4 linked regions of the Notamacropus eugenii genome follow. The protein of the gene in region 3 purifies or fractionates together with the protein of the main gene of each other region. This does not show direct contact. Links are inferred from orthologs where the notes say so. Each region holds a gene or a part of one and is shown on either strand. Other genes may lie near its edges. The genes, in order: TBL1XR1, DDX56, MECP2 and KPNA3.

The links.
Region 1: the proteins of MECP2 (region 3) and TBL1XR1 purify together in Homo sapiens (co-immunoprecipitation; 3 studies listed by BioGRID and IntAct, with this or other methods). This does not show direct contact. The link is inferred for Notamacropus eugenii from reciprocal best matches to the Homo sapiens genes MECP2 and TBL1XR1.
Region 2: the proteins of MECP2 (region 3) and DDX56 purify together in Homo sapiens (affinity purification with mass spectrometry; 3 studies listed by BioGRID and IntAct, with this or other methods). This does not show direct contact. The link is inferred for Notamacropus eugenii from reciprocal best matches to the Homo sapiens genes MECP2 and DDX56.
Region 4: the proteins of MECP2 (region 3) and KPNA3 purify together in Homo sapiens (affinity purification with mass spectrometry; 3 studies listed by BioGRID and IntAct, counting the BioPlex papers as one, with this or other methods). This does not show direct contact. The link is inferred for Notamacropus eugenii from reciprocal best matches to the Homo sapiens genes MECP2 and KPNA3.

What each region holds. Positions count from the first base shown.
Region 1 is NC_092877.1:346,937,114-346,944,395, reverse strand, and holds the start of TBL1XR1 (F-box-like/WD repeat-containing protein TBL1XR1), read right to left. Parts: upstream 3,006-7,282; 5' UTR 2,942-3,005; intron 2,785-2,941; exon of another isoform or gene 2,095-2,784; intron 1-2,094. UniProt on the Homo sapiens protein: F-box-like protein involved in the recruitment of the ubiquitin/19S proteasome complex to nuclear receptor-regulated transcription units. Plays an essential role in transcription activation mediated by nuclear receptors.
Region 2 is NC_092872.1:522,870,144-522,877,588, forward strand, and holds the start of DDX56 (probable ATP-dependent RNA helicase DDX56), read right to left. Parts: upstream 3,021-7,445; 5' UTR 2,972-3,020; coding exon 2,912-2,971; intron 2,684-2,911; coding exon 2,522-2,683; intron 2,145-2,521; exon of another isoform or gene 2,040-2,144; intron 1,628-2,039; coding exon 1,467-1,627; intron 1,318-1,466; coding exon 1,147-1,317; intron 977-1,146; coding exon 886-976; intron 1-885. UniProt on the Homo sapiens protein: Nucleolar RNA helicase that plays a role in various biological processes including innate immunity, ribosome biogenesis or nucleolus organization. Plays an essential role in maintaining nucleolar integrity in planarian stem cells.
Region 3 is NC_092879.1:23,083,951-23,091,020, reverse strand, and holds the start of MECP2 (methyl-CpG-binding protein 2), read left to right. Parts: upstream 1-4,062; 5' UTR 4,063-4,135; coding exon 4,136-4,188; intron 4,189-7,070. UniProt on the Homo sapiens protein: Chromosomal protein that binds to methylated DNA. It can bind specifically to a single methyl-CpG pair. It is not influenced by sequences flanking the methyl-CpGs.
Region 4 is NC_092876.1:106,566,906-106,574,654, forward strand, and holds the start of KPNA3 (importin subunit alpha-4), read left to right. Parts: upstream 1-4,731; 5' UTR 4,732-4,910; coding exon 4,911-4,979; intron 4,980-7,749. UniProt on the Homo sapiens protein: Functions in nuclear protein import as an adapter protein for nuclear receptor KPNB1. Binds specifically and directly to substrates containing either a simple or bipartite NLS motif.

The sequences.
Region 1 (7,282 bases), on a different chromosome or scaffold from region 3:
CAACCAAACCCTCCCTCCCAACTTCACCCAAACATGGCTAGTCAGAATTTCTTTCTATGCAACAGCACTGTAATCAATTATAAAAGGTGGTTTCCTTTGTCAGCCATTCATCTGACAAGGTTTTATTTATGTTTCACTACCATACATGAACAGATATATTTATTCAACAGGTTGTCATTCAAAGGGTCCATTAATCACATCTCCTCTTCGGGTAATGTGTATGCTTATTCTGTGCTCCTTTCCTTTCTGGGTATTAGTTTGAAATGCCCTGAGTTCACGAAAGTAAGTTATTCAGTGTAAAGAAAACTGGTTCTTTTGTTATATATGTACTATTATCAACAATCTTACTTAGATATTAAAACATAGGAAAGATTTCTGGTGTGTGCAAAAAAGCTGTTAAATTTTATGTAATCTCTCAAGTAAATACAAAATATACACACAAAAGGAACCAATCCATCCCACAAAAACTAGTGTAAGTAAAAAGCAGTGTTAGTCTGGCAGCAACGACTAAACTCTGCAACAAAAAAGTTTAGGGTGTTTTAAAAATAACATACGGAGCGCATCTGAATCTTTACTTTTAAGAAAAACTTTCTTCTTAACACACAAATCATTTTCTTATGGGTACTGATTTTTATTTCCATTTAAAATAGGGAATTTGACACCTCTTTTTCCATTAATTCCTATCTAGTTAATAATGTACTTTAAGTAAAAAAATCAATACGTCACTGCAATAATGTTGATGATTTCCTTATCTTTTAAATAAATTGAAATTCACATCTCTCACAAGTACAGGTAATGGTTGATTAGCTGTATGGAATATTCAAAGCAAACTTTTTTTAAAAAATGTAAGAGATTTCAAACAAGACTGAAAGTACATAAAGGAAAAAACTTTCATAAAGTAGCATCAAGAATCCAAACACTTAAGTGGTTAGCCAATTTTTCTTTCTACTCCTCCTCCTCTGCCACCCTCACTGTACTCCCTCCCTCCCCAAGAAGCAAATGCTAAATACTTCTAGGAGTTGTCAATGATAATCTGGGAGGCCTGCCATTAAGCTCCCATGGAACAACCCGACATAAAACCCTGTTTTCATGGAGACAAACAAAGCTGTCCTGACTCTCCAGACTAACAACTTGAGATAGCAAGAACACAGTCTCAAGTGATCTGGGATTAATAACACACCGAAGAGGCACCGTGTCTCACTTAACAACAAAAAAAGAAGTCACCACGGGAATTTCAGCACAGTCACTAGCATTTGCCTAAAAGCATAAAAAAAAAAAACCCACCCCACAATTCCAAATTGCTTTAGGCATGTTGAAGAAAACATCATGAGGACCCCTTATTATCCACACACAAGAGGGAATCCCCAGGAAAGGGAAGAGAGGTTATTACTTAATTACAACTTAGCAAAGGGGGAAAAAAATTAAACCAATCAGGCTCAAATAATTACCCATGCCTTCAACAACCCGATTTGATTCAGCATAGCTAGCAAATCCACAAAAGGAATTCTTATTTGGAAAACAAGGAAACTGGACGTGACTCTAAGTAAAATTTCCAAAGCAGAGCATTTAAATTAGATAGTAAAATGTCCCATAATAAGACCTTTTTTAAACGAGAAGAGAGGGCTGCACCAAGCCAGGTTTTAATGAACATTAACATTGAAAAACATTACAACCATTTTAAGCCTGACTTAGGATCACTCAATTGTAACTTGCAAAAGCATGTTTTTTGAAGAGAGCGACATTATTTGAAAGCTCAACATGAGAAAGAGTACCAATCCCACATAAAGTTTTACCCCAAAGCCTACTACATACATCTATGCTCAGTGCATTAAGTTGATCTTGGCTGAAAATATAAAGTGGTTAATGTTCCAAAATTATAACTTCCCTAAAAGCGTTGAGTATATGGTAATGCATTCATGAAATCATTCACACTACATCCTCAGGTCCATTTCTACATAAATAAAAGTCTGCTTCGGCTGAAAAAACACCTCCATAGGGTAATTTCCATCGAACTGCAGCTACTTTATACCAACAACGTGGCCTTTACACTGTCAAAAAAAAAAAAAAACGGTGACCGTTCTAGCTGAAACTTACCAGCAAACTCCCTTGCTGAAATACACTTTTAATAACAACTTCCAACACACTCCTCTCCTGAACACTTCCTGAAGATAAAATTTTCAGCAACAGTAACTAAGTTACAAAGAAGCAGCTCCCAGAAAGAGAAAGGAAACCCCAATCACCCAGTGGGAAAGTGAGGACGGCGTGTCTACGCTTTCCCTCCCCTCCCCCCTTCAGCAGGAGTTCAGACACCAAGCACATTTTTCATCCTTCCAATTACATCCCTCGTTTTCTGAAATTTACACGACCGAAAACTATCCTAACCCAACCGGGGGAAGGTGCCCGGACCCGGGGTCGGCCCCGGGAGGGGGGGGGGCGGTTTTCCCCCGTTTTAAGTAACCAAGGTGTTCTTTCGGCTGGCCGCGGGTGGGCTGCAGAAAATTACTAATAATCATAAATGTGCCCGGAAAGGCGCCTTCCTCGCTAAAAATAGGCTCCGAAGGAGGCTGCCTAACGACGGCTCCTAATTCTATCGGCTGCAAATTCTTTTCCTGAAAGCCTTCCCCAAAGGAGGGAAAAGGCTCGGAGGGTGGAGGGTGCATGGGGGGTGGGGGAGGGTTAAAAAAAACCCCAAACGGAACCGGGAGCGGGATCACCTTGCTGAGGCGGCGGGGGCGGAGAGGGGGAGGGGAGGCTCCATCCCAATACCGAGGATAATAATAGCGCCCCGTCAGACACCCGCTCCCCAAAGGGCCAAGTGGAAAATGTGCTAGCCTTGGGCCCAGCCCCCACGCCCGCCACCGGGAGTCGGCGCAGCCCCCTCCCCTCCACGTCCACCACCCCCCCGCCCGCCCAGGCCTCGTCCCCGCTCCCCCTTCCTTACCTGGCGCCGCTCCCCGGGGCTGGGCTGGGCCGGGCTGGGCCGGGGCTCGGCCGCCCCTCCCGCCCGCAGTGGAGGCCCAGCGAGTGCCCCCGGCCGGCCGGCCTCAGGCGCCTGGTCGGACCGCGCAGCCCGGGCGGGAGCGGCCTCGGCTCCGGGCTGGGCTCCGGGCGGGCAGCGCGACGACTCCGCCGCCGCCGCCGCCGCCGAGGAGCCCTCCCAGCTGCGCCCGCCTCCCTGCTCCGCGCGGGGGCGGCCGGGGCGGGGGCGGGGGGCGCGAGCCGGGCCGGGGGAGGGGGCGGCCGCCGCGCCGCCGCCGGGCCGCGAGCGGGAGCGGAGCACGGAGGCTGGAGCCCTGCGGCTCGGAGCGGGCGGCCAACGGCTCGGAGTCTCCGCGCCGGGGAGCGGGGCGCGGGGCGCGGGGCGCGGGGAGCGAGCGCGGAGGGGGAGGGGAGCGGGCCGGGGGAGGGGGAGGGGGAGGGGGCCGGACCAGCCAGGCGCAAATGAGCTCGCGAGGCCCGCGGCGGCGGCGGCGGCGGCGGCGGCGGCTCCTGCCGCACAGCCAAACAAACCCGAGCGCGGCGCAGAGCGGCGCAGGCAGCCAGCGCCCGCCCGGGGCGGGGAGGGGGAGGGGGAGGGAGAGAGACGCCGGGGAGGGGGAGGGGAGAGGGGAGGAGAAACGAGCGGGGAGGGGAAAGCGGCGTGGAGACGGGGAGGGGAGGGAGGAGGAACTGGGGAGTGGGAGGGGAGACGGAGAGGAGGAGGGAAGAGGAAAAGGAGGGACTGGGGAAATGGAGCTTGGAGGGGGAGGGGGAGAACGGGCCGGGCCCAGCAGGGGGGAGGCGGCGGGAGCCTGGCCGCTGGCCTGCTTGCCCCAGCTGCTGCAGGCCGCCGGGGGAGGACGGGGCTGGGATGCCCATTCCTTTCTAAAAGGCAGGCACAGAAAACAGGGGCACGTTCAGAGATGCAGGCACCAAGGGCATTTCATTTCCGGGGCTTAGCCGAAGGGAGGGGCTGGGGTGGGCCGGGAGGACCCCCAGGACACTTTCCCGGGAAGGGTCCTGCGATGGCCCGGACGCCCCGCTGCCCAGGGCTCCAGCGGGTGGGGGGATGCTCTCCGCTCCACCATCCGCACACGTGATCATGAAATAGACATGGTTACATAAAGCATCGAGGCGGAGGATCCGTGCAGGCTTCTGCGCCCGGAGAGCCCGTACGTGTGCGCTCGCTGGCGGAGCTGTGCAAGCACGCGCACATGTCTGTGTGTACAGGGTGGTTCTGTTTCATCTCTGATAGGCCGCTGACTTTAATTTCTCTCTAGACCCCTAAAATCATGAAGAAAAAACCAGGAAAAGGGTAGGCACACACACTCGACCCCGCATTACAACTGGGATGTTTCTACCCAAATGTACTGTACGTTAGGCATTTGGCCGTATTGATCTTAGGCTGGGTCTTGTTTTAAAGGTTTATTCTATCCTCTCTCATTTTTTAGCAAAAATAAGATGATTTGCTACGTGTTTACCAAATATTTGCATCAACAGCAGCAAAGACCAGGGAAGTTTTCTCACCTTTTACTTTTGATAGGTGTGTATCCCATCAGCACAAGCCATAAAATATTACTTAGAAAAGTGATAATGTGCTGGGGTGGTTAAACTAGGGGGGAGGGGAAGGAGCAGGGGGGCAGGGTTTCGTTGAAGTTTCTATCCAGTAAAACCTAAGCTCCCTGAACTTTAAGGACAGTGCCTGGCACAGGGTAAACTGTGAGTAAATGTTTATTAAATCAAATTGAAAGAGGTGAATAGTCACCATTTAAAGAAAATAAGATGGGCAGTCTTTCTAAAGCATATAGAAAAAGGGGGGGTAATCTCTTTTGTGGCATAGAGAGACCACATTATAAGCCTTCAATCCAGTTTTGAAAATATAATTTGTAACAGATTTTGCTTTCTTTTGAATAATTACTTTCTTCTAAGTAAAGTGGTTCCTTTCTACGTACTTGTTAAGCAAGGGGTTTTGTGTGTTGGACTTTCTTCAAAATGAATATTCTTAACAGTGTTTTCTTCAACTCATGCACAATGAGTTTAATGTAGCTAAAATACATTAGAAAATACTCATTTAAAATCATTGATAAGTTTTCAGAGACTAACTAAATACCTTGAAGAAATCTTCCAGTTATCTATCTGCCCATAGTCTGGTAGCTTTTTTGGTTAGAGGCCTAAATGATGAGGCTAAGGCCAAAGGATTCAGCCTATCCCTAGGGGCCACTCAGTTTCTCTAGTATGGCCTTAGAGTTCAGCGATGTCTATGCCCAGCTAACGTGCAGGTGCACAGCTTTGGTCACCACAGGAACTGAGAAAAGGAGCATAAGTAGAAACTGGCCACAGCCACTGGGCAGGGGGTGGGGGGGAATCCAACTCCAAGCTTTTCTATTCCTTATTAAGCATGTGTGAGAAGTCATCCTTGTACATAAAAGAGAGAATATATACGACATGTTATCTTTAAGTGAATGTCCTCCGTACAAAGTACACACAAGACCTCCAAATCACACCATAGAATTAATATAATTCCAATATACTCAATTTTATGGTAGTATTTTTTTTTGAAGGTGGAATGGAATCTAGGAAATTCCCTCCATGATGCTGACCTGTAATCTTACCTGTAAATGTAGTCTTAGGTCCTGAGGGTAGTGTAGTGGGGATAGAGAACTAGTCTTGGCTTCTGAAAGACCTGAAAATACCTAGCTGGTTAGGAGTTAGTTAACAATTTGTATAATATTTGTATGGGAGGAGGGGGGATCATCTCTCTAGGACAGATCAACTCTCTAGGACAGACACAGTTTCAGCATCGGGAGAGATGTCAGTACCAATTAGCCTAGGCCATAGTAGGAAAAAAAAAAAAAAGTCCTCCACTACCCCCAGGACAAGTGGTCAATCATCCAGTCTTTGCTTCAAGACTTCCAGTGAGGGGGAGCTCACTTCAGCTCAATTGGGAGTTCTTTATCACAACTCATTTCATCTCTCTGGGCCTCAGTTCCCTGATCTTCCAGATGAGGGGGTTGGAGAAGATGATCTCAAAAGTCTATTCAGCTCTGCTATTCTCTCGTGTGATCCCAAGACCTCAAAAAACCAGTGAAACAGATTCATACATGTTGGGCCTTCAGGCCATCTCACATGCAAAAATAATTTCTCTGAGTCCTCTTTTCTTGGAGTGTACTATTTTCTGTAATAGGAGCTGTTCTTTTAAATCAGAGATTTGAAAGCAGATCAGGATTCAATTCAATCTGGCAAGTGTTTATTGATCACAACATAACAAGTATTTATTGACCACCTATAGTGGAGTCTGGAAGACATGAGTTCAAAACCGGCTTCAGCTGTTTACCAGCTATGTGACCCTGAGCAAGTCACTTAACCTCTGACTCATTTTACTCGTCTGTAAAATCAGGATAATAGCAAGTACCTCCCAGGGGTGCTGGATCAAATGAGATAGTATTTGTAAAGCACTTTGCAAGCCATAAAGTGCCACATAAGTGCTTATTATACCTTATTATTTTTACTGTTGTTACTACATGCCAGGCATTGCACTAGAGGCTGAGTGGGGATACAAAGATAGAAATGAACCCATCCCCGTCCTCTAAGAGCTTACATTTTTTTCTAGGAGAAAAGGATGTACACTGTGAGGGAAGCAGCATTACACAGTTGAGAGCAGTGACCCTAAAATGAGTCAGTGGGTCCTGACAGGAACTCAGAAGCTGGGTCTCCCACCTTTGTGATTTTGGTTAAATCCTAACCTCCTCCAATTTCTACCTCTCTAGCATGAGATTGAATTAAATGGTCTCTAATGCCTCTTTCAGCTCTAAATCTATGATCCTAAGGGGAGACAGAGACAGAAAGAGGAGAGGAGAGACAGAAACAGAGAAAGAGAAAGTACGTGAGGAGGGAGGGGAAAGAAGGAGACAGTGCAGAAAGGCTTCCTGTAGATTTAAGATCTAAACTACACTGTGAGAGGTCCTATGAAGCAGAACATTCCAGGCTTGGAGGCAGGAACCTGAGGCAGCAGGTGCAGAGTCTGGTTGCCTCCATGTATCTCCCTCCCCACTTTACTGCCTTCTCCTTTGCATGAGACAAAGTCAATAAGCAGGACTTCCTCCATAGTTTTGTCATAGGATCAGAGATTTAGAATTTGAAGGGAGCTCAGAGGCCATCTGGTTAACCACATAGACTCCATTTTTATAGGAAGAAAACTGAGGCCCAAGGAGTCTAAAGGAACTTGGGGAGGGGGGGGGGTAGCTCAGGTAGCATTGGAGATAGAATTGGAAGCCAAGTTCTCTCAGTCCAAAGCTAGTGGCCT
Region 2 (7,445 bases), on a different chromosome or scaffold from region 3:
GCTGAATGGAGGCTGGATTGGAGAAACGACAGAGACTTGAGGCAGACAGACCCAAAAGCAAGACTATTGCAAAAATCTAAGTATGAAGTGATGAGGCCCAATAATAGAGCAGTAACAAAGAGAGGAGGCACAACACATTGGAGAGATGTTACAAAGGTGAAATCAACAGTACTTGACAAAAAATTGGACTGGGCAGTGGGCGTGGGAAGGTAAAGAAAGACAGTGAGGAATACAGTAAGACTCATAGAATGCAAGTCTGAGGGACTGAAAGGATGGTGGTTTCCCTCTATAGTAATAAGAAAGATAGAAGAGAGGGAAGGATTTAAGGGAAAAGATAAATGAGTTCCATTTTAGACATACTAAAGTTAAGATGTCTACTGGAAAATCAGTTTGAGACATCTGAAAAGCAGTTGGACATTTGAGGTCAGCACGGAGATTGGAAGATAGGTAGATTTGAGAGTCATCAACACTGCGATGGTAATTAAATCCATGGGAGTCGATGAGATCACCAAGTGAAGCAGTATTTAAGCCTTGAAACCACTGTAGGAGGCAGAAACCATTCATGGTATTATGCCCATTTCACAGATGAAGAAACTGAACCTCAAAAAGGTTAACTGGTTTGCCTATAGGCACAGGGCTAGAAGAAAGTGCAACATGATTTATAACTACATTTACAATGTAGCTAAGGTAGAGCTGAAGTAGTACTAATTGCCAGTTATTATGAGAGAGGAGGCATCAGGTTGAAAAAAGATGGGAACTACTGCCATGAGCTTTACATGAGAATGCTTTCCCCTTGAAAAAAATGGTCAGGATGGCAGCTGAGGCACTTTGGGAGAATTCTCATTGTCTTCCCCAATTCCAAATCCTCCCCCCGTTATACCTCACCGGATTATGCAATACAAGCTCCTTGAGGGCCTGTACATCTTCATTAAAAGTAGCTGACATGAGGAAGGCCTGGTATATCCGAGGCAGGTGGCTGCAGAAGATCACAGAACGATCAGTTCCATCCTGGGCATTCAAACAGCTAGAGTTCCCAGTTGCCCCCACATCCACCCTGTAGCCTCCAGGACACTCAGTAAAGCAATTTCATCCCTACTCTCCACCCAAAGCCCTCCCTCCCAAGATTCAACAATCCCACACTCCTACCAAAGTAAGGTCTTAAGCTCTTCTTCAAAGCCAAAGGAAAAAAGCAAGTCAGCTTCATCCATTACAAGCAGTTCCAAGGAGTCACGCAAATTCAAATTTCCCTGCAGAAGATGACTTAGCACTCGAGACGGTGTGCCTACTACCACATCTGGTTTTTCCATTAGCAAGGGCCTACAGGAAGGTAAAAAATTAGTATCAGGATAGAAATATGCAAAATATACAAAGCCAAAAGAAATACAACTGGAAAGCAAGCACTTCATCACTATCCTTAATCTTTTATCTCTAGATGACTTTCTTCTAATTCCATTCCTTTCACCTACCTTTGAAAAGCAAAGTCCTCTGAAGCTGACACATCAACCACACGAACATCACGGGAACAATATGCTGTCAGTTGACGGATCATGGTCTGTGCCTGCCGTGCCAACTCCTTGGTGGGTACAAGAACAAGGCCTCGAACAGCCTGTTCTACCACTGGTCCTGTCTGTAACAGCATATGTCAAGGATCTTAACCAGCCAACTCAAATCACACTGTTCACTTCATCTCTTTCTTGTACTACCTTCAGTCAGCAGAGGCCACGCTCCTTACAAAAAATGGAAACTTATATGTCCTCTGCAAAAGCAACCTGATCTCCTCTTCAAAAGCAAAAGAACCTAACTCCCTTCAGTCACTGTCGCATGATTGGATTACCACAGCCTTGGCTTCACTCTATTCAATATTTAAAAGACATTTATAAAGACACCTAAAAAGTAACGTGATCTTTCCTTCACAAATCAACATAGATCATACAGAACCAGATTCTTTCCTTTCACTGTCACATGATTACCCAGACTTAGTTTAATTCTAGACCACATCTAAAAGAGAAGAATATGACCTCATGCCTCTCAAAAAGTACCTTTGAATCCTGGCAAATCCTGGCAAATCCTGGCCAGGAATGGGATGGAGACAGCTTAAACTGGCAGAGCTGACAGTTAAACTTCCAACTTGACAATTAACAACTCTGAAATCCACAAGCTACAAATCAGGCCTTGATTTGTTTTTGTCCACTGTCTAACTTGAGAAAATATTAAAAATCCAGATTAAACTTAAAAGCCTGTCCTTTATTTTTAGACATCTGTGAAATAGGCATACCATTAAAGGTATTGCTTGCAACTAAGGAACCAAGTGAGACCCAAAGGCTCACAGATTTGAAGCTGAAAGGGCTCTAAGAAGCTATGTAGCTCACCCTACCCCCTTTCACAAATGAGGAAACTGAGGCACAGTGGGACTTAGTAACTTGCCCAGGGTCACACCTGCAGTAAGACCTGGGTGGCACAACACCTCCCTGAAGATTTCCTTCCTCGGCCCCCCTCACCCCAAGGGCCCAGGCTGTCATACCGCCTTCCTATGAAGCAGATGCTGCAGCAGGGGAATGGCATACGCAGCGGTCTTCCCCGAGCCGGTGCGGGCCCGGGCCAACAGGTCCTTCCCCTCCAGCGCCAGCGGAACGGCCTTCTCTTGGATGAGCGTGGGCCGGGCCCAGCCCTGCTCGGCGATGGCCTGGGAGAGGGCAGAAGCGGAGAACGGTGGGGAAAGGAGGACAGAGAAAAGGGTGCAGACAGCCAGGCTGGGTCTGGCCTGGCCGGGTCAGCGCCGGGGCCGGGCGGCGTCAGACGTGGTGGTCCGGGGAGCCGCGTCTTCGGGGAGGGGTTGCAGGAACCACGGAAAGAGATGATCGATGACTGCCCCCAGATCTTGCCCTTCACCCGCCCTCTTGTGCCCCACTACCTGCAGGAGCCGTGGGTCCAGTCCCATGTGCTCAAAGCCCAAAACTTCGGAATCCGCCATGCTGCCGCGAAGAAACTACACGCATGCGCGGCAGGAAGTGTGGCCGGACACTGCGACGAGGCAGAGGGCCTAGGGGGCGGGGCCAGAACACTGCCCAATCAGATTGGGGACAGTAGCCTCACTCCCGGAAGAACACAATTCGCTAGGGGCCCGCCCAGATTCTGTCGCCTCCTGGCTGTGGTTGATCTTGGTTCCGAGAGAGCGAGGCGATGGCTTGGTCTTGTGTTTGCTCTGGAAAAAGGCGATTTGAGCTGGCTTTTGGTCATGGGAAAGTGGAAGAGCCCTCAGCTCACAAAGGGATGTCAAACCCTCAGATGCGAACAAGGTGCGTTACTAGGGTAAGGCACCGAACTGTTTGCCTCAGTTTCCTTTTCTGTAAAATAATAATGGCCAACGTTTATATAGTGCTTACTGTATGTCAGGCACTGTGCTAAGTGCTTTGCAAGTATTATCTCATTTCATCCTCACAGCCACCCTAGGAGGTGTCGTTATTATCCTCGTTTTACGGATGAGGAAACTGAGGCAAACTGAGGTCAGCTGACTTCCCAGGGACACAATGGTGGTGAGTGTGAGTCTGGATCTGAACTTGGGTCTGACTCCTGACCCAGCACCCTATCCCCTCTGCCACCCTGGGAATAAGAATAGCATTTACCTCCCAGAATTGTGAGAATAAAAGGAGCTATTGGTAAAGCACTTTGCAAACCTTAAAGCAGCATATGACAGTAGCTATCATTATATCACAGATCCAGAGATGAAGGGGAACTCAGAAGCTATCCAGGCCGTCCCCCTATTTTCCAGTCATGAGCAGCTAGGAAGTCTAAGATTGCCTACACTTAAATTCAGGTCTTCTCTGATAACAAATCCAGGGTTTTTCCCATAATGCCATGCTACTTCTCACTAAGAGTCTGTTCCCAATACATTACTGATTTTCTGGAATTTCATAAGAAACTGAGGCCCAAAGAGGTTAAATGACTTGCCCAAGGGCTCAGAGGTAATAAGTGGCAGTGAGAATTTGATCTGAAGAGCTGACTACAGAGCCTGGGCTCTTCACACTACTCTAACTACACTGACCTCCAAACCTCTACACAGCTGCTTACTTGGCCCCTCCATCATTCCTTTTCTATCTACCCTTCCCAAAAATGTCCATTTACCATAGTCTAAAAGCTGGGACTCCCTCACCCAACTGCAGCAACTCCTCAGCTTCCACTTTCTAAGTTTAATTTTTTTCTCAATTAACAAAACTCCACCTTTTCCCCTACCCACTTCCCACTCCACTGATAAAAACAAACCCTTGTAACAAATATGCATTTTCAAGCAAAACAAACTTCTGCTTTGGTCATGTCCAAGAAATAGGTCTCCAAATGCATCCTGAGCACATCACCTTTCTGTCAGGTGAGGGAGTAACATGGAATCCTGACTAGTCATTGCATTTATTAGAGTTCTTAAATTTTTGAGTTGTCTTTACAGTGTTATTGTTAATGTAAAAATTGCTCTGGTTCTGCTCACTTCACTGTGCACCATTTCATACAAAGTCTTGCCTGGTTTCTTTGAAACTGGTCCTAATGACTAATGTGAAAATGTGTTTAATGAGAAGGTATGTATAGAACCCATGTAAGATTGCATGCCATCTCAGAGAGGGAAGGGGAGAAAATCTAAAACTTATGGAAGTCATTGTACAAAACTGAAAACAAATAAATTAAAAGAAAAACTTTCTTTCTTACAGCACAATAGTATTACATTAGCCATATAACACAATTCGTTAGCCATTTCCCAATTGATGGGCACCCCTTTAGTTTCTAATCATTTGCCACCATAAAAAGAAGTTATTATACCTTTTATAGAGGGTCCTTTTCCTTTTTTAAAATTTTAGTTTTCAACATTCTCTTCCATAAGTTTTTTACCTTTTTTTCTTTCATTGATCTCTTTGGGGTATAGACCTAGTAAGCCGTGGGGTATGTAGTTGGATGACTTTGGCGGCATAATTCCAAATTGCTTTCCAGAATGGATTGACCAGTTTACAGTTCCACCAGCAATGTGATGACATACCTGTATTTCCATAGCTCCTCTGGCAAATTTGTCATTTCCTTTTTTTTTACTATGCCTTATCTGCTGGATGGAAGATGGAACGTTAGAGTTGCTTTAATTTGCACTTAGTTATTTAGTGTTTTGGAACATTTTCTTCACATGGCTATTGATAATTTGGATTTCTTCCCCTGAAAACTACTTGTTCATATCCTGTGACCATTTATCAACTGGGGAGTGGTATTCATTCTTATAAATTGGAAGCAGTTCCCCATATTTCTTGGAAGAGAGATCTTCATTAGAGAAACTTCCTACAAAAGTTTTCTCTTATGTTTTCCTTCTCACTTTAATTACATTGGTTTTATGTAAAAACTTTCTAAACTTTCTATTTTCTGTCTTCAAAACTGTTCATGTTGTTCATGATCCCATATCCACAGATTCATGAAAGGTATTTTCAACCTTATTCCTCAAATATATGTTACCCTCCACTTTTTTCCATTCAAAGGACAAGCAATGCACTTTCCCCTATCTGCAATTTTTAGAGAGCATATGTGTCTGTGAGTACTCTGATACTTCCATAGGAAAGAAGGAAATAAGTACCTACTCTGTGCCAGGCACTGTGCCCAGCACTTTACAAATACCCTCTCATTTGATCTTCACAGTGTAGGTGCTTTTATTGTCATTTTATAGTAAAGGAATTTGAGGCAATCAGAGGTTAAGTGACTTGTGCAGAGTCAGACAGCTATTAAGTGCCTAAGGATGAATTTGAACTCCAGTCTTCCTGACTCCAACATTCTATTACCAGCTGCCAATGAAAGACATTCTTTGCTGGTTCTCCTGAGATGATTGTGTCCAGTATTTTGTAAAACCTAAATACCATTCACATTATCTGTCATTACACTGGTGTCCCAGGACTATAAATCTGTGGGAATGATGGAGATGGGTTGTGGCACTGATTTTTGACAGCAATAGATAGCATGTTAAAGCAGACTGGGCTGGGCCAGCCTCAGGCAGCTGGATTTGGAGATAAGGGAGCTGAATGAATGGAAATAAATACCTGGGTGAGATGGAAGAATACAGTTTAGGCCCTAGTCTCAGAATGTAGAGTTAGGAAGACAAAATAATCGCAGTGAACAGGGCGCCCCCTGGGAGCCCAGAGGCGAAGGGCACATAGTGTAAGCCGAGCAGAGACAACTGAACTAGACTGAGGACAGAGCAACTGCTGGACCACGAAAAGAATGTGATTTAGAGGTGTATGAACAACACAGGTAGACTAAAGAAGTGAAAAGATCAGGGTGGAGGAGCAGCTATTGGGACAGCTATGCTGGCCAAGTCCCTGGGAAAATATCTGAATGTTCAGTAGGTTAGTCTGTTTTCCAGTCTTTGACAGTCTATGACAAAACTGTAAACTACTTGGAAAGACATCAGGACAGAGGTTTCTCTGTTATGTGCTAATACAATGGTAGTGTAGCAGTCACCCTGGCTTCTCAAAGCTCATGCCACATGGGTTCTGACAGACCCTATTAAGCTAGAAAGGTCAGTAGCAGTACAGTAATGGTCTAACATGAAATGTTCAACCTAGGTAAGTTCTGAGAGGATCACTGCCATACATTTGGCCACCAAGGTAACTATTTTTTGTCACAGCACATCAGAAAACCATCTACTATGGTACTTAGACGTGCCTGCATTGGTGAAAGCCCCTGACAAAATCAAGGCTCTTCTTAAGTATATACCATGCCAGCCTCCTCCATCACCTTGTGGTAAAAAAATTAGCAAAGAAAGGATACCCAGGACGTGGTGATGCACCAGCCTTTCTGAGATTTATCACAGCATCCCAACTCACTGCTTTCAAAACCGGTCTAACTCTGTCTCTATCATTTAAATGGTAATTTTCCCTCTTTCCAAAAAGTCAGGATAAAGAAAGCTCACTGAACTGAACTCTGATGTCTAGGAAAAGTATTACTGTTTTCTTTAAAACACAACTATCCATAGTCATGAGTCATATGACCTATAAATCTACCACGCCTGAAACATCTGAAATAGGACAAAAAATGAGTATTCTAGGATGAAGGAGGTTCGGTAAGTTCTAAGAATGATTCCTAAAGACTAAGACTGAAAAGACTGCAAGCAAAACCAGCCTCTTGGATGCTTTCCTAATTGTAATTAAGTCCTTAGATATGTTTGTTCTAAACTAGAAGGGTTTCAAGAGATTTAAGATCAGCTCCAAGTCATCCTTGGGGTTATTTCATAGCAGGTTACCTATACTCTACTATTCTGCTTGGTTTCTGGTCTGGTAAGAATATTTCATCTCAAACATCACAAGTTACCAGAACAGGTTTTATTTCACTGGAAAATCCATACAAAGAACTGAACCTGGGACCCATGGAGAAAATATTTACTGCATCTTAAATAAAATTTAACAGTTAGCAGCTCTGTGGGGGAAAGAGAGAAG
Region 3 (7,070 bases):
TGCTAAAAAATTTTTTTAAAGAAATAATGAGCAGGTTGATTTTAGAAAACATGGAAAGACATGCATGAAATAATGAAGGGTAAAATGAACAGAACCAGAGAATGTTGTATACAGTAACAGCAACATTATTTGAAGAACAACTATGAAGGACTAAGTTGTTCTGAGTATTATATATACTCAAATCAACTCTAAAGGGCCTATGAAGGAAAATGCTATCCACCTCCACAGAAAGAACTAATAGAAGCATGAATAGTATGGTTTTACATATACATCTTAGTTAAATGGTGTCCTCTAGTTTGGGGTGGAGAGGGAAGGAGACAATTCAGAACTTAAAATGTAACAAAAAAATTTATATGAAATTAAAAACAAAAATAAGGTAATAAAACATCTGGGGGAAAAAAGAAATAAGTGCAAAGATTGTATGAGTTCAATGACAGTCACTTCCATAAGTCTGACCCCAAATCTCTCTCTCTCTCTGTCTCTCTTTCCACCTTCGTTCTCTCTGTCTCTGTTTCTCTATATCTGTCTCTGTCTCTCTCACCCTACTCTCTCTGTCTCTGTCTCTCTCTGTGTCTCTGACTCCTCCATCTCTCTGTCTCTGTGTGTCTCTCTCTGTCTCTGTCTCCCTCCCTCCAATCTGTTGCCAAAACCTTTTTATTTTACTTACCTAACATCCATCCCCTTTTCTTCTCTGCCACTTCTACCACCCTGGTGCAGACCCTCATCACCTCACACTTGGACAACTGCAATAGCCAGTTGGTGGGTCTGTCTGCCTAAAGTACAGGTCTGACCATGTCACTTCTCAACAAACTCCAGTGTCTCCTGGATCCAACAGAAATTCCTCTCTGGCTTATAAAGCCCTCCTAACCTGTAATCCCTTCCTTTCCAGTCTTCTTTCACCTTTCTCCCAATTGTGAACTCTTAGGTCCAGCGATACAGAAAGCCTTTCTTGATCCTCTTTCATTTTAGTGCCTTCTCTTTTGATTATTTCTTTTTTCATCTTAGATATGGTTTGTTTGCTTGTCTCCCCCATTAAATTGTGAGCTCCTAGAGGGTAGGGCATCTTTTGCCTTAGTCAGGACTGGATAGTCAATAAACATTTACTAATCATTCACTATATGCCAGGCCCAGTGAAAATCCAAGAGGATACAAAGAAAGGCAAAAGACAGCCCCTACCCTCAAAGGGCTTACAACCTAGGGAGGGAAGCCAGCAAATACAAGTATATTCAAAGAAATAAGGGACTATATTGGTGATTTCATTGGTATATGGCAGTTGTTTTTAAGTGTTGTCCAGGAACTTCTAGGAGGTCCTTTTCAGGGGGTCTGCAAGGTCAAAATCTTTTCATCATACTAAAGTGCTTTAATTTCTAACATAAATAACAACAGAAATAACCCACATAAACAAAAGCTCTTTGGGAGCATCTTCAATAATTTTTAAGCGGGTAAAGAGGGCCTGAGACTAAAATGTTTGAGAACCACCTGTATAGGTAACTCCAGGGTGAGGAAACTCCTTCTAGCAATGCAGATTGGAACTTTCTTTGCAAATAAATTACAGAGTTTTCTAGAACACTAAGAGGTCATGTGACACATGGGGGGGGCAGTCACACAGCCATCATGTGTCAGAGCAGGGGCTTGAAGTCAAGCGTCTCTGGCTCTGAGGCTCGCTCTCCATCCTCTACACCATGTTGCCTCTTGTTATATTCAAAATAGATACAAGATACTTTTTAAAAATTATCAAGCACTTATTTTCTCTTCTACCCTCACCTCACTCCACAGTGGGGAAAAAAAACAAAAAGAACAACCAAACTGTTGTAACAATACAGAGTCCCCAAAGTCTTAGTGCAGTATCAACAGCTTAAAATTTTACTAAGACTTTGGAGGACACCATGTATGCATAGACAAGCTAAACAAATTTTCACCCTGGTGACATCTACAAATATCTCTTTGGTTGTTTCTAATATAAGATGCCATTTGGAATTGGAGGGATCAGCAGTGATCTCCTTACTGATTTTCCTAACTCCAAGCTATCCACGATACCATCTAGCTGCCCTGTAATGTTCCCGCTAGTATTATTTTTTAACGTGGGGGGGAAAGCCCAGGGATGGCCTATTTCCTATGGATGTTACCAAATGTAAAATACAGTGTAATTTGGGAAGTGTGGACCTGAAAACTGTAGAGAAAAGGCAACAGGGTAAATGCATATATTTTATGATTTAATTAATTAAACAATTCCCTATTAAAGATAACAGTTACATAGCATTACAGAGTCAGAGGTTAATCTGACTACCTGGTACAGAAATCGTCTGTCTTAAATACACTTTGCCGTGAGAAAGGAACTTTCTTAGTTGAACAAATCATAAATTTAGTAAGACAATTAACAAAGTAGTGTCAGTTATGATCCCAAGCTGTGTAACTTCCTCTCTGTAACATATGTCTCTGTGACATAAGATAAGGAGAAAATCCCACCACTCTGATGGCAGGCCTCCTGCTGACACATGAAAGGGCACCTTTAAGAAAGTTTCAATTGAAATTACAACCCAAGACATCTGTGTTTTTCCTTATCACTAAGATGCCAGGAAAAGGGTCTCCTAAGGAAATTACTGTCAGCCCCATCTGCTTTGCTGACACCAAAAGGCATTCTCTGAGTTTACTTAAGATAACAAAGGTCCAGACTCTTCTTAATTCAAGCTTTGGCCCTTATTAAAGTCCAAAATTTATATTAAATATTATCAGAAGTCAGGAAGACCTGCATTCAAATGTTGCCTGACTAGTTGTGTGACCCTGACAAATCACTTAGCCTAGTTGAGATAATAGTTAAATGCAGTGAGAATCAAATGAGAAAAAATATGTGGTGTTTTGCAAACCTTAAAGCTCTATAGAAATCTAAGCTATTGTTAATTAGGAAATGGAACTTGAGCTGAGCTTTGAAAGGATCGAGGGGTTCCAAGATGGGAAGGTGTGGGAAAAGAGATCGTGATCAGTCGGCCAGTATGGGAATGTCATTGGCAAGCAAGTGTAAATTGGCTGTGGAAACTGCATCCTAGAAAAACATACCATATGATCCATGGTGTAAGGCTGTCGTATCAGCTCACGTTTATGTAGCACTTACTATGTATAGACCAGGCACTTGTGCTAAGGGCTTTACAATTATCTCATACCAAGTTTGGGAGATCGGTGCTATAGTTATCATCCCCACTCTACACATGAGGAAAATGAGACTAAGTGACTTACCCAAGGTCACACAGCTAAGAAGCATCTGACTCCAAACTCAGTGCTCTGTCCGCTAGTTGCCCCACTAACATTGAGGTCGAAAAGAGGAGTCTTTGTGCATGCTATCCTGGTCCTGTGACCAAAGCCCACCTCCTGCATAAATGCAGTTGATGTGGCCTGTTTCTTTTGGCCGCGTTTATATGAACCTGCAGTGGTGCGAAGTGGGGCCGAGGAAGGGGAGGGTACCCTGAAGCCATATCCTTGTTCTAGAGGTTGCCTTCCCTAAAGGTACGGATAGACTTAAATGAATGGGTTTAAAGTGTGTGTCAGACGGCTATACGTGCAAGTACGTGTGTATGTGACTGGTGGACATTAGCCGGTTTATAAAAGGGACAAATGCATAATCCTAATATGCTTCAGCAGAGAAAACAGCAGAGCGGATGCTTAAAAGCGTTAATATTCAAATCTCAACCGCTAGACCATCCCAAATGTCCTGCCACGCCCACTTTCCTGAACCGACAGCTAAGAACGCCCAATTGGCGCAGTCCCATTAAATTACCATTATCCAATCAACAGTCAGAAAGGGCTTCCTCTCTCTTCCACCTGGGCGATAATTGACAGAAACTTCCGCCAATTCATGGAGCTGCTATCAGGACTCCAGCCTCCTTCGCTTATTCCGTAGCCAATCATGCACGAGTTTTCAGAATGACGTCTCCACCATCCAATCACAAAGGAGCATGGGTGGAGCCGCCCAGCCCCAGAAAGAAGGGACGGGATAGTGGTGGGTAAGGGAACTGAGGGAAGCTAGAGGGATAGAGAGGGCGTGGCCTGGCTGAGACGTGGAGCGGCGCGCGCGCTCCCAGGTTGTCGGCGGCGCGCGCGCACCCTCCTCATCAAGAGTCCTGTGGTAAAAGCCGTTCGGAAAATGGCCGCCGCCGCCGCGCTGAGCGGAGGAGGAGGAGGCGAGGAGGACAGACTGTGAGTGGCGCCGCTGTGGCCGCGGGCGGGGGCCCCTCCGCGGAGAGGAGGCAGCGCGGGCGGGGGCCACGGGGTCGGGGAGGCGAGCCGGGCCGGGCTGGTGGATGGCGTCCCTCCTTCCCTCCCCCCTCCCTCGCTCTTGCTCCCCCCTCCTTGGAGCCCGGGGCCCTCCGTCGGTGCCACCCCGCCTCTCGCGGCGGCCGGCCTCCCGGCGCGCGTCCCAGCGCGCGCACGCCCTCCCACCCGCTTGCTTGGCCCTGGTTAGGCGCTCGTGCGCTCCGGCCCGCTGCTGGTGGGCCTCGAGCGCCGTGCCGCGCCGCGCAGTCCTCTGCTCTCGCGCCGTGGCCGCGCGCTCCTGCCTGGCCTATCTGCCCGCCCCCTCCCTGCCCAGCTCGAACTCGTGCACGCCCGCTGTCGCGCGCTCGCTCCTCCATCCATCCTCCCCTTCCCCCCATCACCTCCCCATCCCCTCTTTTCTCTTCCCCCCACCCCCGTTGTCTCTTATCCCCCTATTTCTTCTCCCCATCCCCCTATTTCCTTCCCCCCTCTGTTTTTTCTCCCCACCCCCCCCATTTCTCCCCCATTTCTCTGACTTTCCCCCTCCCCCCCCGCCACTTTGGCCCCTCCCCTCCTGCGCCTGCGTACTAGTCCTACTCCCCGGCGAAAGAGTGCGCCACAGCAGCCCCATCTCCCTCCCTCCCTCCCTCTCCTTCCCCTCCTCTTGCCTCTTCTGCTGCCCTGTTAACTCCCTATTTTTTTTTCGTCCCCAACATCTTTGCCAGTCCCCACAGGACTATCAGTTCTCCTCCTCCCCTCCCCCGTGGCAGGAAGAGGGAGATGGGAATTACTGCCTACCCCATAGGGAGGAGTGTACATTGTGTCCCCTCTGTCCCACACAGCCTTTTCTAATAGAAGCAGTTCGGGAAGTGTCACCAATTCTGATACTTGCAGCCGAGGAGGCTCTTTGGTGAAGAGCCTCACGTTGTGCCTCTCATCATCTTGGGGGATGTCTGAATTTGTGGCTGTTGGAGTATGGTATGCACACCTCACATCCTTCCCCCACCACCCAAAATCTTCCAGTTACATAAAAGTGATGGGCCATACTCTGGAGCCCTGAGTTCGAATTGTTCATTTGGAGCAAAGTCACAGGCAGGACAATGGGTGTCTGGTTTAGTGGTTTCTTCAGTCTGATGTACTCTACCTTTAGTTCTTTCATCTTTATTTTGTTCCTAGTTTAGTTTTGAATGACTCCCCAAACTGAAACTCATTTCAAATTTCCGAAGTGTAAGTAGCAATCAAGACCTTCATATGTGACACTTGGCCCAACTGATTGTAAACTTTCAAGTTCTTAGCAAAACTAGGTGACTTTGGCCTGGTTTTAGGTTTCAGTACAAAGTGTACAGCTTTCCACTGAAGACTTAAGGAGATTGGGAAGAATCTGAAAAGATTTATCTCATCCCAGAGACCATTTATGAAATTAATATATACAGATACTGTAGGAAAAATAATTGCTCTAAAATGCAAATAAAATTCAAACCAGTTTTTTTCTTTCACCTAATATGTCAACTGCTTTTAAGATTAGGTATGTAAGAGTGTAGCTTGTTCACAACAAATATACATCATTACAAAGGAGACATTCTTGACTTTTGTTCCATAGAACGTGTGCAGACAGTTTTTTTTATTTGTATATTTTTACTAGTGGAAATTGGTTATGCTGAACCATACACACCCCTTGTGACTGGTAGCATGCATGGGTGAGACAGCTGGGTTCTGTAAGAACTGAGGGCTATGGCTGTGGAACTAAACTTGCTCTGTCTTAAGCATACTGACCTAGACTTTCTAACAGAGGAACTTTATAAGATTTATGGATTTAGTTAAGCTATGAAAATGAAATATAACCTTGCCCCTATGGCTCATTAAATTAAACATTTATAAGGCAGCTAATGCCCTCAATGAGAACTATAGTACTGGCATAGTGTGAAGCTTTCATTTGGATCCCTACGTTCTGGTAAATTCAACAAATCAAATTCCTAGTCTTTCAAAATATGCTACGACCCAGTTAAAACAAAAAAAAGACAGGGTGGTTTTTTGTTTGTTTTTTACCCCTGATCTTAATTCCTGGTCAAGCAAGCCTAGTAATTCATACTGTGAACCTTTTGAAACTTTCAAAACCAAAAAACCAAGCTAGAAGTAAAAGTGTCACTCTTCTTGTGCTCTCGGTGTTTTGTTTTTTTATCAATCCTGTCGGTTTAAAAGCTGGAAGAAGAGACCTTAGAGATCAGTTAATGTTATGGATGAGAATGCTGAAAAGATCAGACACATAAGGAGGAGATTTGAACTCAATTTCTCCAACTCCAGACTCTTTCTACAATACTAAGCCGACAAGTAGCCTAACCACTGTTTTGTTGTTTTTGGTTAGGATGTGTGGTTTCATTTCTGTGGGAAACGCCTGGTATGGAAACGTGGTCTGTAATTTCTAGTCTTAGAGAGTTGCCGGTGCCACTGACAGGGTAAGTGACTTGCCAAGGGTCACACAGCCTGCATGTGTCAGGAGCAGGACTTGAACCCAGGGCTTCCTGACTTTAGGGCTTGTATTTTATCCACTAGACCATGCTGCTTATAAGTGTAGATAAATACATACAAACATATCAAAGTGGGCATTGTTGTACAAGTTAGAGGTATGTCTAACTTAAGAAATGGAGAAAGTAGATCCATGAGCAGCAACCTCCTTGACAGTCATCTGTTCTTCACACCCCTGGTCCTTTAAATAGAATAAATATAAACCTCATCTAGGGAGGGGTTTCTTTGAAAAATACATTTAACTGAATTAGTGGTGTAAATTAGACATCAGAGTTCTGAGTGTCCTGATAGCTCAGAGAAAT
Region 4 (7,749 bases), on a different chromosome or scaffold from region 3:
TCCTTTCATCTGAAAAGTCATCCATTACTTACTATTGATTTCTGTACACATTATGTCAAAATTTGGCTGCCTGGAGAAGTTCATTAGTATTGTACGTCAATTTTATAATGGCATGTTTGCCTGGGTTTTGGATAGCGGATAATGCTCTCATGTCTTCCCAGGTACTAATGGAGTAAAACAGGGCTGTGTGCTTACTCCCATGCTTTTTAGCATTAAGTTTTCAGCCATGTTGTCAAATGGTTTCAATGAGGATGAACACGGCAGCAAGGTCAACTACCATACTGATGGCAAGTTCTTCAATTTGAAAAGGCTACAAGCCAAGACCAAAGTGGAGGGAATGTTGATGCATGATTTTCTGTTTGCAGACAATTGTGCACTCAATGCAACCTCTCAAGCTGAGATGCAACAAAGTATGGATCAACTCTCTGCTGCCTGTGCTAATTTCGGCCTAATAACTAACCCAAGAAAACACAGGTGCTCCATTAGCCACCACCACACTATCCATACGTGGAACCATCAGTTACAACAAAATGGAGAAGTTTTGAATGCTATGGATAAGTTCATTTACCTTGGTAGTATATTTTCCAGGGATGTACACATTGACAATGAGGTTGATGCATGCATTGCCAGAGCTAGCTCAGTGTTTGGGAGGCTCCGAAGAAAAGTTTGGGAGAGCAGAGGTATTAGACTGACTACCAAACTGAAGGTCTACAGAGCCATTGTGCTGACCTCATTGTTGTATGCCTGTGAAACATGGACAGTCTACCACTGCTATGCCAGGAAATTGAATCACTTCCATTTGAACTGTCTTAAGAAGATTCTGAGGATCACCTGCCAGGATAAGGTACCAGAAACAAGTCCTTGCTTGAGCTGAACTGCCAAGTATTCAAACTATGCTTCAGAAAACGCAACTCCAACGGACTGGTCAAGTTGTTTGAATGCAAAATGTGCACTTGCCAAAAAGAGTATTTTATGGAGAACTTTCATGAGGCAGGCAATCACATGGTGGTCAGAAGAAGCAATACAGGGACACTCTCAAGGTCTCTCTCAAGAACTTTGGATTTGACTGTGCAACATGGGAGGCACTGATGCAGGACCGCTCAGCATGGCATGCCCACATCAGAAAGGATGCTCTGCTCTGTGAGCAAAGCAGAATTGAGACAGCACAAAGTAAATGTAGGATGCACAAATTTGGGATATCCACCCCAAATATTCACACAGATTATCTGTGCCCAACCTGTGGTAGAGCATACTGAGCTTGTAGTGGTCTGATCAGCCACAGTTAGACACACTGAAATTTCACTTTATCATGGCTATGTCATTCTGGTCCTCTTTGAAGACAAAGGACAACAACCAACTTCAACTTTTCATTTCACAGTGTTTATGCTGTTTTCTTTGTTACCTTGGTGACATGTAAATCTCCATTCTCAAATTAGTTTACTGTGAGCCATCCAAGTAGTTTGAGCTGTGGTCTAACTTATATAATTCTGATTATGAATATATGAAAAATCTCATAGATTTTGTTTATAGGTAAATGATCCATGGAAAAAGTAGGATGGCCCATCCTCCATGAATCAAAAGACAGAATTGAGTGAACCTGACTCCATCTTGTAACTCAGTCCTAGAGTTAGCTCAGTTTCCTTTCTATTCAATTATGGGTCTAGTCCAATTTCTACCTTGTGAGGAAACTTCATTCAGTTATGGAAATTGTGAGAAAACATTATTGTATTCTTTGGACCTAGCCCTATATGGCTGGAAAGTTGGATTACCCTTACCAGTTGCTTAGAGACCCTTGACTAAGGACCTAGGCTATGCTGACTAGAAACCCAGTCAGATCCAAAGAATGATGTAAGGAGTTTCTCACAACTGCACATCTTAAACAGCCCATATATTTTATCTGAAAACTGTTCCTTTCATTGAATAAGATACTCAGGGGAGGGGAAGTGGGATGCCTCTTTTTATGATTTGAGAGAATTGCACCTGATCATTCATCTCCATCCCAACTCAGAAAGCCCCTAATCTTTCCTATAGTTAGAAATTAGATTACCCAATTTTGTAACCTGTTTTATATACTGTTAATTATTTTTATTGCATAAAAATCTATCTCCCCTGTCTTTGGGGTCAGTGCCAAACTGAGGAGGCCTGGTCCCAATCTGTTATGCAATTGGCATGCATTGCTTAATAATTTAATCCTTCTAATTATGCTTGATACTTAAAAAGTTAATAATAAATAAAATCAGAAGCTCAAACCTTTGTTTCCTCAGTTATTTCATCTCCTACATCATGGTGAGACCATGGCAGTACCTACACACCTAAAGCAATCCCTCATGAAAAATGAATCATCCAATTATAGGACAAAATCAGGATTCTCTAGAGGAGCATCCAAAAGGTCATTGCAGGACTTTTCAACCATGTCCACAGCAGAGGAACAATCATGGAAAGGATCCCCTGAAATTGGAATGTCAGGGAATGAAGTGGCCAGATTAAGAACGGAGAACTGCTTTAAAGTCACACTTTCTTTGTTCAGTAAAGTCACTTCATACCTAGCAAGTCTCTGATCTGAAAAGGTTTGTGTTCAAGGTCTCAGCAAAAGAGCCTCTACTCATGGGATACTGCAAATGGAGCTCCTAATACCAAATCACATGTCTTTTCTACTTCAAAGAAAGTGGCAAGACACAGCCTACTATGGCTGGAGTACCAGCTGTGCAGAATAGTATACCATGGGGCAAGGAGAGGGCCTAAGGGATTAAGGATCTCAGAAGCCACCTCTCTATTCATGAACAAAAAGAGAAAAGGGCTTACTTACTCCAGTCCCAAAACTGGAGCTGAAAACAATGCTCTCTTGAGGTCTGCAAGGGCAGTAAGGTGTTCTGGTCCAATCTGAAAGTCTTTGGTTAGAGAGGCTAAGGGTTTACTAATCTCACCAAAGGATGGAATCTACTGACAACAGTAGTCTTGTTTTTTCCAGAATGAGACGGATCTGCTTCTTAGTCTTTGGGGCAGATAGCTGCTGAAGACTTTGTACCTCTTTAGGAGAAACAGAGCAAGAGCCTGAAGACCAAAGGAAACCATAGACCTGTGGGAGGCACCATTGTACCTTTGATCTGGAGGCTTTGTGGCTTCTGGCATGTAGTTGGAGATGATAGTAGCTGTACTCTTGACAGTTTCCACAGTAAGAGATCATTGATTAGTGAACCAGAGTGGACCTATCATAAAGAGAATTGCATTGATTCCTTAAGGGTTTCTATGAGTGTTTTATGAGTTTTCTCTATCTGTTTATGGGCTTCTGAGAGTTTTTTTTTAACCTTCTGTGTTTTCTGTGTGGGTTGGCCTCTATCCTGACAAGAATATGTTCTTTCTAGGACTTTTAAGGGAATTAGAGACCCTGTTACTAGCACTTGTGGAAACCTAGACATTAATTATATAAAAGCTATATTCAGAGATATCTCAGAGGAAGCCCGGCAGTGGTAATAATGAGCTGAAAGGGAAATTGACTTTTTTTTTTTTTTGAGGGAAGCCCCAAAGATTGAACTGTCAGTTAGGGGAGGTCCCTGAACACCTGGCTACAGGTAGGTCACATTTTCCTTCAAAATCCCATCGACTTCATCTAACTTCTCACAATGTTTAAAATACTTTCAGCCACCCCAACTCCTGTGATAAAACGCTCAGCCATTTCGCCGTTATGATGTGCCTCCATCCTAGAAGTACCAGGTTCTCCAGGTATCTCTTCCAGTCCCTTGATTCTCAATCACTTCTTCCCTCTCTCCATCCCTGCCACCCACTCCCTTTGCGTTCTTGGACCAGCCTTTAGCTCCCTTATCTGTAAAACGATGGGTCCCTTCCAGCTCTGAGGCCATGAACCAGTAAAACCCTCTTTCCTCTCAGTCTAAGGAAACACCCCCCCCCCAAACTCCTTAGGCTGCTCCTTCGGCCAGGACACCCTCTCCCTCGCCCCAGGGGATCCCAACTCAGTTCGATAAACACCTACTAAGCACATGCCAGACACTGTGCTCAGGGTACAAAGAGGCAATGCTGACTGCCTAATTCTCCCCATCTCTCCATTCAGTTTGAAGCCCGGAAGGCTTGTTTGGGAGAAAAGACAAATGTTTGGTTAGAAGGTAGGGAAGAGCCGGGGTCACCGGGGCCAATGGTCCTCCATCTCCCTTCCACTTCCCTCCGTAAGTAGGCACGTACGTGATGGTGGGGAGGCAGGAGGGTTGTGCAGCGGGGTACAGCACACGATCAGGGTCCTAGGTGCCTCATCACTTGGCGCTTACTGGACTGATGCCCGGGATGGCCAGGCGCACTCCCCAGGAAGCCCCTCCCTGAGGCGGCCCCTGGGGTGGAGCCCCGAGGGCGGGCAGCGCGCGCATCCTCCCGGCATACACCACTTTGTCTCCATCGAGGTGGACTATAAGCCTCGCTTAGAGCCGGGCATGCCGGGAACTGTAGTCCCCCGCCTTCCCTCCCTCGTGCCAGAAGGAAAAGCCGTAGGGCCCAGCTCCATTTTATGCAAATAAGCTGCAGCCCCGAGGCGGCGAGGGGAAGTGGGAGGTTTGCTGTGGTGTGTCGCCCTAGGAACCCGCGCACTCCGCAGCCCAAGCCGCCGGCTTTAGCGTCTTCATCCGGGTGTCACGTGTGCCGGAGCCCTTTCCCTGCGCGTGCCCCTCCTAGATTCCATCCTCCCCCTCTCTCCCGCCCCCGCCCCCGCCCCACCCCCACCTCGCCACCGGCTCCACGCCTCCCCTAGCGTACAGAGGCGTCACGGAACGTCCCCCTCCTCCTTTCCCCCTCTCCGGCTTTCCCTCCCTCTCTCACCCTTCCCCCAACCCCAGCCCTCCCCCTCCCGCGCCGGAGACTCGCCGCCGCCGCAGCAGGACGAGTAGCCGCCGCCGGAGCAGCGCAGAGCCATGGCCGAAAACGCCGGCTTGGAGAATCACCGCATCAAGAGCTTCAAGAACAAGGGCCGCGATGTGGAAGTGAGTGTCGCGCCGCCGCCGCTGGCCGAGGGGTCCGGGCCTGGCCGCCCGCGGCGGACGCCCAGGCTGGTTCTCGCCGGTTCGCCGTGCGGAGTTGGCCGCCGCCGCCTCCCTCTCCTCCCCGGGCGGCGGGGCGGGGAGGAGCGCGGGGCGGCGGCGAGGGAAGCGGGGCGGGGGTGGGTGGAGTGGTCGAAGCCGCCGCGGCCCCGCTCCCCTCCCCGCCTAGGGAAGGCACCGGCCGGCGGGGAGACGAGGGAAGAGCCGTGGGTTTTTTCTCCTCCGTCACGCGGGCGCGGCCTGGTGGAGGCGAGCGAGGGATGTGCGGCTGCGAGGCGCCGCCGGAGGCCGACCGGCGAGAGCGAGCGGGGGCTGCCGCCGTCTCCTCGCCTGGCCGCAGCCCCGCACGCCCGCCGCCTCCTCGCCTCGCCGGGCGGGCCCGCACGCCCGCCGGGCACAGGAGGGACCGGCTTCTCGCTGCGTAGCGGGAGCGGCTCCACCTGGGGCTCGGGCTCCTCGCGGCCCCTCGGCCCGGGCTCGGCGTGGGGCAAGGCCGGGTCACTGAGTCGCGCCGGGTGGCGGATGAGGGGAGGAGGGAGGGATGCGCCAGGACCATCTTCTCGGCCCCGCTCACCCTGTGATCGTCCCCGAGCTCCCACTCCCCTCTCGCTTGGCACCGGGATCAGGATGCCGGGCAGACAATAATTGGGCATCTATTGTGTTCTTGCTCCGGGAGGAAAGAAAGGGGGGGAGTGTCCTTTCCATTCCTTCCTCCTGGCTTCCTTTACATCCCTTGGAGTATACGATGCATGCGTGATACGATCGATCATTTGTGGAAAGTATTTTTATTGGAATATTGTCGAGGCATCTCCATCCTTCGTCTCTGGCTCCCGCCGTGCCGGTGTCGGGTGATGATTTCTGCGGCCAGATTGTAAACATTATGGTCACTCCGTGTGCTGCCATTGTTTCATTAAGGTGACACGAGCAGGTACTACTTTGTAACTCATCTCATGCTGAGCAGCGCTAGGGGTCTCTATGCAGCTGTTTAAAGCATGTCAGTGGAAGGCACAAACTTCATCAGTACCCACACATATACGGTGTTTGAGCCCCGTCCCGTCCTCATCCGCTTTGGCAGGATATGATTTGGATTTGTAGGTTTGAAATAATATGCTAAAGATAATGTGCATTTTACAAATGAAAATTAATCCAAATTACTCTACGGTGAGGGGAAAAAATCCTTATTGCTTGTTTTATAATGAGTAAACATTGTAGTTCTCAAAAGCACAGTTACACTGACAAAATCTTGAGGCATTTCTGAATATATAATTTTGAAGATAACTGATGACTGTGGAGATCTCATTTTATGAAAGAGAAAACCGAGACTTCTCTGCATGAGTATGTTCTGGCCTTGATTGCATTTCCCTCCACAGACACCTGTCCTGATTCTAAGACTCGTAAAAAAATGAATTTCAGAAAGCTGGAAATTGCTTTCTCCTGGTCACCTCAGTGATTGAGTCTAGTGTCTTAGGTCCAGGGAAGTATCATTGGCAACCAAGTCCTTCCACCTGCTGCAGCCTTATCCTGTGTTAGAAAATGTAAAAAATCGAAATTAACCATGTTCCCCCAGAAGGTATGGTAAATTTATCTTTCCCCCTGGGTCCTTAGGATGCTTGGATAGTTTTGTCTTTATGATTCCTTCCCTCCCCGTTTGTTTTAGTATTCCTGTGACATTCAGTACTTTTATACTATATGCGTATTGCATAATAGATATACATTAAATGTTTGTTGCTCCTGACATCAGTTTCTGTCTTTTAAATATGAGCAATTATATGCTTCCATGGGTGTCTTAAAGGATGAGTAGTGGTAGACATTCTGACCTAAAACAATATTTTAGGAAGAACAGTAATTATCCTTCATTTTACAAATTGGCAAGCTTGGGCATCGAAAAGCCATCCACTGCCAAACCTCTTGCCTTTTGACATGTTACAATGCCCTCTTCCTCTCCCCCACTAGCTGGAACAGTACCTTCCAGGCCAGATCTCCAGAGACCATTCTCTTCTCAGTCAGTCCTACTATTGCTTATGGATTTTGAGAATTGACTGCCCTATGACTTCACAGACCAAAACTCCTTTCCTTGGCTACAACTCTCATATATGTGTTACATTTCTGCATTAGGATAAAAATTTCTTGAGGGCAAGAACCATCTGGCTTTTTTATTTGTATTCCCAAGATCCTATCATAATACATCCTATCATAATACTTGACACTCCAGTATCTAGGTAATTTTTTTCACTCATTTATTTATTTTAGTCAAAGGTTGTAAGATAACCCCTTCTCCACCCCCAGACTCCAAATCACATTAGTCTATGACAAAACTAGGGCTAGAATCTAGGGTTTTTGATTACTTACTAGTGGTCTGTCCTTTAAACCACATCAAATTATATAGTTATCAGTCATATATGATGTACATGGAAAAAAGTAATCTTATGCACAAGGTGCTGGGTACTATGCAAATTGATCTTAACTGCTATAGCTTCTTTTTAGGAGTTTATAATACAGAACAGAGAATAGTTAGGTAGATGTATACAAAGAAAAATCAAACATAATGAAAATTCTGTAAGCAAGAAGATAGAAAGGACCATCAGAAATAAAATACAGTTTCCCATAAGTATACAGTTGTGCTAGGGAATTGAGTACAAGGTGAGCTTTAGAAGAAAAACATTTCATACCTATCCAGTCAGGAATGACTTCATAGAAGAAAGATTCTAATAGG